Cricetulus griseus: one gene and its partner. The protein of the gene in region 1 interacts with the protein of each later gene in a pairwise test. Links are inferred from orthologs where the notes say so. Each region holds a gene or a part of one and is shown on either strand. Other genes may lie near its edges.

The links. The genes of interacting proteins can lie anywhere in the genome.
Region 2: the proteins of Usp13 (region 1) and Trim55 interact in a two-hybrid assay, tested with the Homo sapiens proteins (2 studies listed by BioGRID and IntAct). The link is inferred for Cricetulus griseus from reciprocal best matches to the Homo sapiens genes USP13 and TRIM55.

Annotation. Positions count from the first base shown.
Region 1 is NW_023276806.1:116,474,676-116,480,274, forward strand, and holds part of Usp13 (ubiquitin carboxyl-terminal hydrolase 13), read right to left. Parts: intron 3,967-5,599; coding exon 3,844-3,966; intron 3,315-3,843; coding exon 3,288-3,314; intron 2,528-3,287; coding exon 2,384-2,527; intron 307-2,383; coding exon 149-306; intron 1-148. UniProt on the Homo sapiens protein: Deubiquitinase that mediates deubiquitination of target proteins such as BECN1, MITF, SKP2 and USP10 and is involved in various processes such as autophagy, endoplasmic reticulum-associated degradation (ERAD), cell cycle progression or DNA damage response.
Region 2 is NC_048595.1:150,883,559-150,889,768, reverse strand, and holds the start of Trim55 (tripartite motif-containing protein 55), read left to right. Parts: upstream 1-2,776; coding exon 2,777-2,944; intron 2,945-3,439; coding exon 3,440-3,612; intron 3,613-6,210. UniProt on the Homo sapiens protein: E3 ubiquitin ligase that plays an important role in regulating cardiac development and contractility, muscle growth, metabolism, and fiber-type differentiation.

The DNA.
Region 1 (5,599 bases):
TGAAAAATCTTCATGAAGTGTGATGGGACACAGTCAAAAATAACTTGGAATGACCAAAGGACACTGGGAGGTCTCTGTTGCCAAGGACCAAACTGAAACCACCTCCAGCAAGGCCAGAATTCCCTAACTCATAGTCACCAATGCTCACCGTTGCTCGTAGGGCCTGCACTGCCTGATTGCGCTGAAATCCCATGGAGGTGATGATAGCTACAATTTCCTCAGGAGGTTGGTTGTCCAATCCAGTAGCACCATATACAGAGGCTCCAGCCCCTCCATACCCAGGTATGGCCAAGGGTTCAGCAAAATCTGAGAAAAATAACTGTACTAAAATTTTTCTGGCTTTTTGCCTTGAAAACAAACATTGTAGAAGAAATGTGGAAAAATATACAAAACTGTATAATCAAGGGATCCTAGAACCAGATCTGAGGCTAGACATACCAGTCGATTTAACAGCATTAGAAAGTCCAAAGACAGGTGATTTCCAAGCAGACTTTTCAGCAGGGAAAGACATGGCTATTTGCATACAAAACCATAAAGACAGAGGTTCCTCCTCATGTAACACAAAATCAACTCAAGCTGGATCATTGTCTTAAACACAGGAACTAAAAGTATTAATTTTAAAAATTAATTAAAATAATTTTAATTTTTTTTAATTAAAAGAGAAAACACAAGATTCAGTCTTTGTAACATTGGGTTAAGCAATGATCCCTTGTATATGACACAGAAAGTAGAATTCATAAAACAAAGTAGATGTATCATACCTCATCAAAATTGAAAAACTGTCTACTTGAAAGACATCATCAAAGAAGTGAAGACATAGAACAGAAAAATATCTCTGCAAATTATGTGTCTGACAACACTTAGGAGGCAGAGGCAGGTGGATCTCTGTGAATTTGAGGCCACCTTGGTCTACAGAGCGAGTGACAGGATAGGCTCCAAAGCTACACAGAGAAACCTGTCTTGAAAAACCAAAAAAGAAAAAAAAAATGTGTCTGAGAGGAAACCTGTATCTAAAATTTAAAAAGAACTCTTAGAACTTAACAATAAAAGGCAAAGAACTAATTATACCCACAGTGTTATTAGTCAGTAGGGAAATACCTCTTGAAATCACAGTGACCACCATGGTACACCCAGAAGCCACTATAACAAAACTGCTAATGGTGAGAATTCAGAGAAATTGAATCCTTCATTCATCATGGGTAAGAGTATGAAATGGTTCAGCCACTGGGTAAAATTGACAATTTTTAAAAAGTTAAATATAGAACTACATCAATTCTGCTCAAGAGAAACAAAATCATAAATCTATATATGCACAAAAGTTTATGTTTACAGCCCCATTAATAAACACCAAAGAGCAGAAAAAACCCAAATGACTGTCATCCTCTGATAAAAGGGCAGACTGTGGTATGGCTATACATGGAACACTACATGGCCATAAAAGGGAAGTGCTGTTCATGCTACAGCATAAGACCCCTAAATACATTATGAAAAGCGGTAGAAACCTGACACAAAAGGCCTCATGTTGTACAATTCCATTCATATGAATTATCAAAAATAGGCAAATTCATAACAATTGTAGGGTACCCAGAAAGTAGATTAGTGAAGATTAAGCACTGGAGAGAGTAAGAACATGGGAGAGGCAGTGTCTTAATTAGGGTTTCTATTGCTATGAAGAGACACCATGACCTCAGCAACTCTTATAAAGAGAACATTTAATTGGGGTGGCTTGCTTATAGTTCCAGGGATTCGGTCCATTATCATCATGGTGGAACATGGAGGCAATCAGGCAGACACAGTACCAGAACTGAAAGTGCTGTATCTTACAGGCAACAGAAGTAGACTGAGCCACTGGGCAGCTTCCTGAGCATAGGAAACCTCAGAGCCCACCCAGATAGTGACATACTTCCACCAACAAAGCCACACCTTCTAATAGTGCCACTCCCTATGAGATTATGGGGGCCAATTACAATCAAACCACCAAGATACCTCCTATCTAGCATTTCTTTTGTTATACAAAAATATTCTAGAATTAGACAGTTGCTTAATTGTAAAGTGACTAAAATCCATGTGAATGTACACTTCTGATAGGTGGATATATAAATGACATCTTCAGAAAGTAGACAAAAGAAGAAGCTGAGGAAAGGGCCTCCATTTCTTCAGTTTTCTATTTCAAGCTTAAAATAAACACCACATCTTTCTAATGATCTTTTGGTCAACGAAGTGTGGACACCTTTAAGGAGGAAGTTATTCCAAGAAAGCTGTTGTTTAAGAGATTAAGATTGTGACTTTGCCCAAACAGTAGCATGTTACCATCTGAAAACTCATCTTTGGGGACACATCCTTGGGGACATGAACTCCAAAGTACTCCCATATGGCCACCTACCAGGTTCCTCCATGTGCACGATAATCCAGTTGAAGGCCACCTCAGCTCCAGTGTTTCCAGTGAAGTACACAGCCTTCCGGCAGGCTTCCAAAGGAAAGCCCATCTCAGCCAGCTGCATCACGGAGGATTCATCAATGTCTGAGGCTACAGAGCACAGCAGGATATCCCACCATGAAAAACAGAATTTTCCACTTCCTCCTGTCTTCATTACTCTTCAACCCCTTATCTAATCTACAGACTACCTGAAGACAGATCCATTTTGTTGGGTCTTAATTTGACTTCTTTTTATGTCATCTAACTATTGAGCTATTCATGAGAAAAAAAATGGTATTATTACCTCAGTTTACAAATGAGGTAATTGAGGCCTATAGAATAAGAAACAAATTGTTCCAGGCCACACAGTCCTAAGCAGCAAAACCCCACAGGACTGCAAGCTTTCAAGCCTACACTAATCCTCCTGAGCAATAAGGGATACTTAAGCAGCATTTCATTGGTCTACATTTGTTGCTTACTCAACTTACAGACAGTTCCACCCAGGAACAACCACATATATCCAGGACAGAACAATGCTACTTTGCTGAACTACTACTTAAAAAAAAAAAAAAAAGTTACACTATGAGCTGAAGAGATGGCTCAGAAGTTAAGAGCACTTACTACTCTTCCAGAGGCCCCAGGTTTTTTCTGTTCCTAGCACTCATATGGTGGCTCACAACCCTCTCTAACCCTAGTTTCAGGGAATCTGACACCCTTTTCTGGCCTCTGTGGGCATCAGGCATTCACATGGTACACAGACATGCACACAGGCAAGACACCCATATGTATAAATAAAAATGAACAAATCTTTAAAACATATCATACTAGCAACAACTGTAAGACACCAAAAAACACTTTTAAAGATACCTACGGTCTATCAACTGGTTCATCAGGCGATCTGGAAATGAAAGAACAGATGATAAATAAGAGCTAGCCACCACCAATAGTTTTAGAAAAAAGAAACTGCATCAGTCCAGGATATTCCCAGACCCTCTCACTCCTGGTTACCCCACACACACTACCTGCAAAACAGTTCATTAATTACAGTAATGAGGGGAAACAGCAGATTTTGGGCAAATAAAACAAGAAGTTTTGACATCTCAGTGAGATAAATAATTTCAATCCTTGCATTTATTTCCAAGAGCAAGGTTTCTGGCCTGGACATGATTTATAGGGGAAGTATGAAAAGCCATCCTGGCTTCCCTACTGCTCACCACTACCTGTCTGTAAGCCCTTTCAGGAGCCTCTGCCACCAGGGCCCAAATCAATGACTCATAGTGTATGAGTCTGAAGTATACAGTTGCAGCCATGCTTCATTCCTATGTGTCTAGGTCAAAGACAGGGAGCAGTTTAATGGTGAAACAGTAACTCCTCCTGGCTGGAAGAGGGTGGTAAGGAAAGAGTATCCTTCCAGTAGGAAATGGTACCTTTTGAGTCATCAGGAATGACTATAGGGGGACTGATGTCTGGAAGCTCCTCTTCTCCTGGCTGTAAGCCCCTGGCTCTAAGATGGCTGATATCTAGTAGGTCTGGCATATCAATAGAAACATCTGCAAAACAAAAGATTATATTCACTGGACTCTCTAGAGCCCAAATCAGCTCATTATAAATCTGCATGTGTTCACTGCATGCATGTATCTTGGCAGCCTAAGGGACACAGAGCACAGCAGATTTGTCAAGCCACATGAAAGTTAATGGAGGGCTCAGGGAAAGGGCAGAGAGTGGTGGGACAAAGGCATCACACTGGACAGCAATAGGTCAGATAAGCCAGTGTTCACAGACTAGCAACCAGGCTATCTGTGGTCTGGACTCATTCCATTTTGTGTTTCTTAAAATATGGACATGATTTAAATTTAAAATTTAGACTTCTGGATTTCAAAAACCATGAAGCTGCAGCACATTCTCCCATGTAAACAGTCTGGGTTTCCCTTTAACTTCTATTTTGGACAATGGTGGCCTCTGTGACCATTTCACACTGACCCCACAGCTCTGGACTGTCCCAAACATGCACATCATGCATATGGGAGAGGATGTCTTTCTGAACTATGTTATTACACACAATGGAGCCCACCATGAGAGGAGGCTGTGTAGGCCTCTACCCGGCAGCTCTTCTTTCCTGCCTTTTGCTTCCCTATCCTTGTTGCACATTTGGGTTTGAAAACTCCTACCTAATACTTTTTTCAAATTGTGGCAGATACTGTAATGATTGTAAGTTATGAATTATAAAGCTCAAAAGAACTTGACTGAATCTTAAGTGTCTATCCCTGGACGCTCTGTGAGGAAAAACAAAACCCTCTCGGCTCAGTTGCTATTGCATTTGACTTACTCAAATGCAAGATTTACAAGCCGAATAGCATCTGAGATGCAGTGCTGCATCTATGCAAACAGGAACAGAAGTGGGTTCAACTACAATTTCAGGGTTATGTCCTTCAGGCCTGAAGGATAACTGCCTCCAAATGATTCCAGATATGTAAATCCTACTTAAGACAACCAAGCAGGCTGGGCATGGTAGCACATGCTGTAAACACAGAACTTGTGAAGTGGAAGCAGGTAGATCAGAAGTTCAAGGCTAGCCTCATCTACACAGTAAATTCAAGGCCATCCTGGGATACATGATATCCTGCCTCAAAAAATAAACAGATAAGTATAAATAAAACAATAACCCAAGAACAAAAGTTAAGTCTGAAAAGTTAAATTTTAAGGACGAGTAAAACTAAACACAAGGTCAGACTCACAGAATTGATACAACTGTTCCTCAAGAGAAAAGTCCAGGCCCTCCTTGTGACTCTTTTAAATTTAGTCAATAAAATTTGATTTCATTTTTGTTCCTTCACAAAAATTCCAAGAACAACAGTAAAAAGAAAGAAAACTGTCCAAAGCAATCCAAAATTTTCTATCTCAAATATCTAGTCTCTCCCAGAAGCCGGTAGAGAACAGAGTGGTCAGCTCCCTACCCTCAGACCCTCTCTGCTGCCTAAACTCTTCAGCAAGAAAGCCTAGGGTCTCCTGGGCCTTGGGAATGGCACAAAGGAAAAGCAAGCAGTCACTGTGTGCCCACCTGCATCAGGTTCCCTAGAAAATCACCCTGGATGGTTTTCCTCCTCTCTCCCTGTCCCTTGCACCAGTGTCTGGATGACTTTCAAGATTTGCAATGTCTCCTTTCAGAAGTTCATAAACACAAAT
Region 2 (6,210 bases), on another chromosome or scaffold:
GCTCAAATGGTAGAGCGCTCGCTTAGCATGCGAGAGGTAGCGGGATCGATGCCCGCATCCTCCAGTTTTCTTCCTTCCCTACCCATTTCGGCAGCTTTTCCTTTTTGTTTTTTGCATCTACCTCACTGTAGGCAGAACTCAGCCAGGTGACACTTTGGCGTTTTGTCTTAAGTCTGAAACTCCCAGCGGGGAGCCTGAAGCTAAGCCGACCCTCACCGAGGGAAACCGGCCTGTGGATAAAGCAGGAGGTGGACGTTGAGCCGCTGTAAACGCAGCCTCCAGTTGTGCCGCTCGATCAGGAACCAAGGCCTAGGGTTGGTACCTAGGGTCGTACAGGCGACCAGCTTCGGAGAGGCTGGGAGTGACCTCCAGGAAGAAACTGTGCTGCGTGGCGTTGGCTAAGGACCAGCACGGAGGGAAAACTGAAAATCAAAAATAAATAAATAAATATTTGGAAGTTGATTTAGACTCCCCTTGTACACACACACACACACACACCATACTCTGAAACCAACATTTAGATAGTGACATAACACTCACACTTTTTTTTTTTTTTTTTTTTTTTTTTTTGTAATCGGTTATCCCTCTCCAATGGCAGAATTGTTAGCCTTGGGGATCACAACGAATCATAATTCATTTGTACATTTTAGACTCCTGGGCAACTTGGGTGCTTTTGTTTCCAGTGTATACAACCTGCTGCAATTCATTGCTGCTTTCCATTTTCTATATTTCCATTTTTAATCTCACTTTGTTATTTTCAAAATATATTAGTTAAAGACTGTAGTGGTTAATCTTGGTTGTTAACAATTAAAGACACCTAGAAATTTGTCAAGTACCTTCTGGGTATGATTGTGAGGCTATTTCTAGAATCAACTCATATATCAGTTTTCAGATTGAACAAGTAGGACCCACTCTGAATTGTGGGCAGCTGGAATTTAGGAATAAAAAGAGAAAGAAGGGGGCATCCATATTTGTTTGCATACTGGACTTTTTTGGGGTGATTCGGTGTTTGCTGCTGTCATCCCCAGGCCTCAGGCATCAGGCTTCCTGGCTATATCACTGCTCTCTTGTTCTAAAACTTACAGCTTCTTAAATAAAAAAGATATTGGTTTCTGTGTGTCTCTAGTCTTTAGAAGGCCATTGTAGAACTATACAGCCTTTGGTCATGTGTCATCCCATTTGGTCAACCAATAACCAAGTGTACACTGGGGACTTTTTGTGTTTTGTTTGGGATTTTTGAAATCATAGGGAATAAGATAACAATTTGTCACTTAAAAATGACATGAATTTTTCTTTCGTTTTTCTATCTGATTTAAAGCTTTCTGTGCAATATGTATCAATTATGACTTTTACAAGTCCCTGGCAAATGTCAGAATTTGTGTTTATAAGACAAGAGTAGACCAAGAACACCAGAAATTATTAGTGACATTATCATTTTTAAAAGGACCTTGGATGAAGGGCAAAATACACAGGCATTTTAGGTGCAGATTGGGCAGCATATAGTACTCTGTCTTCACTCCAGCTGTAGAAGGCACTGACATCTTCCTCCAACACATGGTGAAATGCAATTATAGCATGCAATCCATATGCCAGCTGTTATCCCATTGAGGATTACTGCTGTAAACTAAGCTAAACTTTTAAGAGACTGTCACAAATTTTCTTTGTGTCTTGTACTGTACGTGGGGTGGGAGGTACAGGATAAAAGTAGGAAGGAGAGCAACGTAGTCAACAGTTCGGTTAACTTTTTGGGTCTTGGGAGATGGCTCAGTGGATAAAATACTTGCTATACAAGTATGATGACTCCAGTTCAGATCCCCAGAGCTCATCTAAATGCCCGCTGGATGTTTAATTCCATGGAAAATAGAGGAAGACCCTAATTAAGCAAGATAACTTGCTAGACTGGTCCTATCAGCCAGGTTTGGCTTTAATTGAGAGATCCTGTCTCTACAGAGAAGATGGAGAGTGATGCAGGAAGCAGCCACATGCCTGTCCACACATGCATGTGCACAACATGTTCACCCTACACATGTGACTATGCACACATACACATAGACATGTGCAAAAAGAAAAAGCTTTTGTAGATACTTTTATGGTGATAAGGTCTTGAATTACGCTTTTAAATTGCAATTTCCCCTACACCACAATCGTGGCAAAAATGAAAAACTTAGTATCAGGAGTGCCCTGTGAGGTCAGGATGGAGATCTGCAGAACAAGTTCTGCTTGCTTGCAGCTAAGAAGTTGCCATTATGTTACTTCGGGTTTTGGCGCTTGTTTCCTGTCTGAAGTAACAATGTTTCTTATACAGTTACACTGTAGGGCTGCATTCTAAAGGAGCCTGTCACCAAGTTCTTTCCAAGCCCTCACTGAGGGCATGGCTCAGAGACCAGTCATGTACATTTGCATTTGTTGTTGACAACTGTGGACTGTAGACTGCCCTCCCTTCATAACCCCTGCTAAATGGGACTTGTAATCCCCTTCCCACCCACTCTCTTACTCCCTAGAGCAAGAATGTTGACTCCTGCTCTCTGTCACCTGTCAGAATCCATCCTCCTGTCACTGGCTTATATGGTCAAGTCAGTCCAGGGCCATGTGACCTTGGGTTGCTAAAAACAGCTCCATCACCCACTCTGAACCAGGGCCTGCAACAATGTCCTCCATAGAGAGAAACATAAAGGACACTTGATCTTACAGTCCTTGGAATTATTTCCAGGAAACACTTGCAGAAGCCGTTTGGGAGCACCAGTCCCCTGGCAGCACACTCAGCGACGGCCAGGAAATGAGCGCTTCTTTGAATTACAAGTCTTTCTCCAAAGAGCAGCAGACTATGGATAACTTGGAAAAGCAACTGATATGTCCCATCTGCCTAGAGATGTTCACGAAGCCTGTCGTCATTCTCCCCTGCCAGCACAACCTGTGTAGGAAATGTGCCAGTGATATCTTCCAGGTAGGTGTGTTTGGAATTCAGAGGGTGTCGAGTGTCCCTCCATCCTGTTTGAAATCAAAGGCGGTCCCCTTAGAGAGCTCTCCAAGGCTGTTTCCAGTGTGTTTGAATCATTTTCCCAGGTTTGGTTGTCAGCTTCCTCCTTAATTCCAAATCCAGTTGTGTTTTCATTCTAAGAACCGTATTTGTCATTAGTAAAACAAAACAGATGTACTGACTATGTTTAAAAATTGAAAATGAGCTACTGGTCAGAGGATGAGTGTTGGAGCTTCTGGTTGAAACTTTGGGTTATGAAAACACGGGATAGAAGAATGCTTCTTGCTAAAGAGGGGACATTGTAGGTTTGGCTGTGGATCAGGGAAGGCCTGTGTTTCAGGACCACTTGTAGTAAGCCCTGAGAGTCAATATAGTGCATGGTGTCAGAGAGTGAAAATAGTCTCCAAAAAGCTCCCCATGGGGCATTACTCAGTTCCTTTTTTTCTTGCTTGGCAAGAACAGGCCTCTAACCCATACTTACCCACAAGAGGAGGCACCACGGTGGCATCAGGGGGTCGATTCCGCTGTCCCTCCTGCAGACATGAGGTGGTGTTAGACAGACATGGGGTTTATGGACTTCAGAGGAACCTGCTCGTGGAAAACATCATTGACATCTATAAACAGGAATCCACCAGGTAAGAGCTATTCTGAGAGACAAACCTACTGGATGCTTTGTCTAATTGTTTTCAGCTTGATGGTCTGATGCACTGCATGTTCGTTAGCAGTCACAAGTTAATTGTTCCTTAAAAGGCTTTTCCATGTCAGTCTTTCCCAATGAGATGGAGTTGCTCATGGAGGAAAGAAGGGAGCTGGTGTGCGTGCCCTGTGTCATCAAAGGTAGTCATGTTGAAAGAGGTGTGGTGCTGCCCACAGCCTTGTATTACATTCATTTTAGACACATTGCAGGTTCCTTGTAAGTCCAGATCCTATGCTACAGAAAAACTCTAGCACAAACATGCACATAAGGGAAGCATCACTGTTCAAAATCCCCTGGCTCCTAGTGGCCTTGCCTTAAAAATGGTCTAAGCAACAGTAACACCTAAAATTTAAAAACACTCTGACCTCATCATTTGTCCTAATATCGGCTCTAATAGAATGTTCAAAGCAAGATATAATGCTGGTGTTCAGAAACTTCATTTACAGACATGGGAGAGGGAGTACATTTCAGGCTGTTTCTCTATTAGTGCATACTCTTAGCATCTACTTGGTGATTGATTGGTGTGTCATATGCATCCATTCATTAAAACATTTTTAAAGGCCTCTTATTATCACCCACATAAGTTATACAGTTCCTTTCCTAGAGATGAAACTGCAGAGTTTACTCCTAGAAGGCATGTTGAGAAGAGTCCTAACTCAATTCTACACAGGTCATTTGAGTTCAAAACGTTAGTATCCATATGGAGATCGTTTAGAAATGGACCCTCTGTGATCCCTAGCATCTAGGGCATGTGTTTATAGAACATCTGCAGGGCTGCAAATGCCTTGTACTCTTTGCAGGAAGGTTGCTCCATTAATCTAACATGTAATTATTGTGATTATTATGCCCATTAGTTTCTGCTCAAGATTCAGAGCTAAATTAGATAGCACCAGGCTATAGATGGGATCGAGGAAGAATTGCTGATGACATGTTGCAGCCACCTGTTTCCCTTGCTTCCAAATCTTTTGACAAGAAGGAAAGTGTTACCAGAGTTGCAGATCTGATTGCATCGTATTTCATTGTGTTAATGAAATGAATACATCTACAAAATGCTCCCACACCTCGGGCTCAAGGAACATTGCAGAAGAAGGCATGGAAAGACTTTAAGAGCCAGCTGATCAGGGAGCTTGCTATAAGACTGTGTCAGAAGCTATACCCATAACTGACCCCCACCATGATTGCCTAAATGTGAGCTGAACAAGGACGACAACAGACATGCCAAAATGGGTGAGGAAAAACCCCCGAGGCTTCAAACCACAAAGAACTACAGGCAACTAAACAATGTTGAGAGTGGAAGGAATAGTCTTTCCTAGCAAAGAGCATAAAAATTGGTTACACAATTTCAAATGGTCAGTCCTGAAAACATAATAAGAGTAACTGAGCAGGATTTATTTATAAATAAATAAATAAATAAATATGTACATGTAATAACAATTTAAAAAGAGGTCATGAATTTGAAAGAGAGAAAGGAGGGGTAAATGGAAGGGTTTGCAGAGAGGAGAGGGAGAAATGATGTGACTATATTATGATCTCAAAAATAAAAAAGGTCAACCACACGTTGTCTCCTTAAGAGATTACCATGGCAACTAATAACCAACCAATTATTAAATGGCAGTTATTCAACTATGGTTTCAGTGTCATATACAGTGCCTTCCCAGAACAGGAGCTCCACAGTGCTAGCTCCTTAAACAGAACAAAGAAATGCACCACTGTCAGGCTTCTGGGTTCTATTTATTACAGTTATTTTTTTTTTTATCTCACCACTCACCTAGTTGGAACTTCAAACATAAACATAATAGCATTTGCGATGAAATCTAGAGGACAGGAAATATTAAAACTTGTAGTGTTAGTACAACTACAAGATATAGTCTTGCCTTAATCATGAAGTCAGCCTGATACTCCTTCAGAGGATGGGAAACAAATTATACAAAAACAATGAGCCAAATTGCCACTACTAAAGCAAGAGCCATCAGGAATAGGGATAATTTTGTAATTATAAAATTCTTACATTGTTTCTTAAACTCAAGTCACATTGGGATGTTTTTACATGGTAGTTGCTTAAAATGGCTTAGTCACATCAAATTGAAGTTGGGAAGTTATACCAGACATGAGCCCCAAGCCATGGGATATATTCAACAACCTTAGAATACAGAATAAGATAACCCCAGCTCTAGTCTTTGGCAGTGTCAACAGAAAGGGAAAAGGCTGCTGTGATAGACTTTGAAGTATCATTCAACTCTGTCCTCTTACAGGATAGCTACAGTCATGACAAATCCTAGCCTTAACTAGCATTCTTCATCGTGATACACTAGCCACAGTTTGGGCTGGGCAAGGGAAGACACTAACTTGGTTAATATTATTATTGAACATAGTGATTAATTTGTTGATATAATAAGCAAAATGGCTTTGTATTGTGTGTTAGACTCTGTTCAGATGCTTTACCTGTGCCCCAGGTGTGATTCTTTAATGTTCCCAATGGTCCTCTGAGGTGGATTTTATTATCACACTATCAAAATTTTTGAATGCTTGTGTGTGT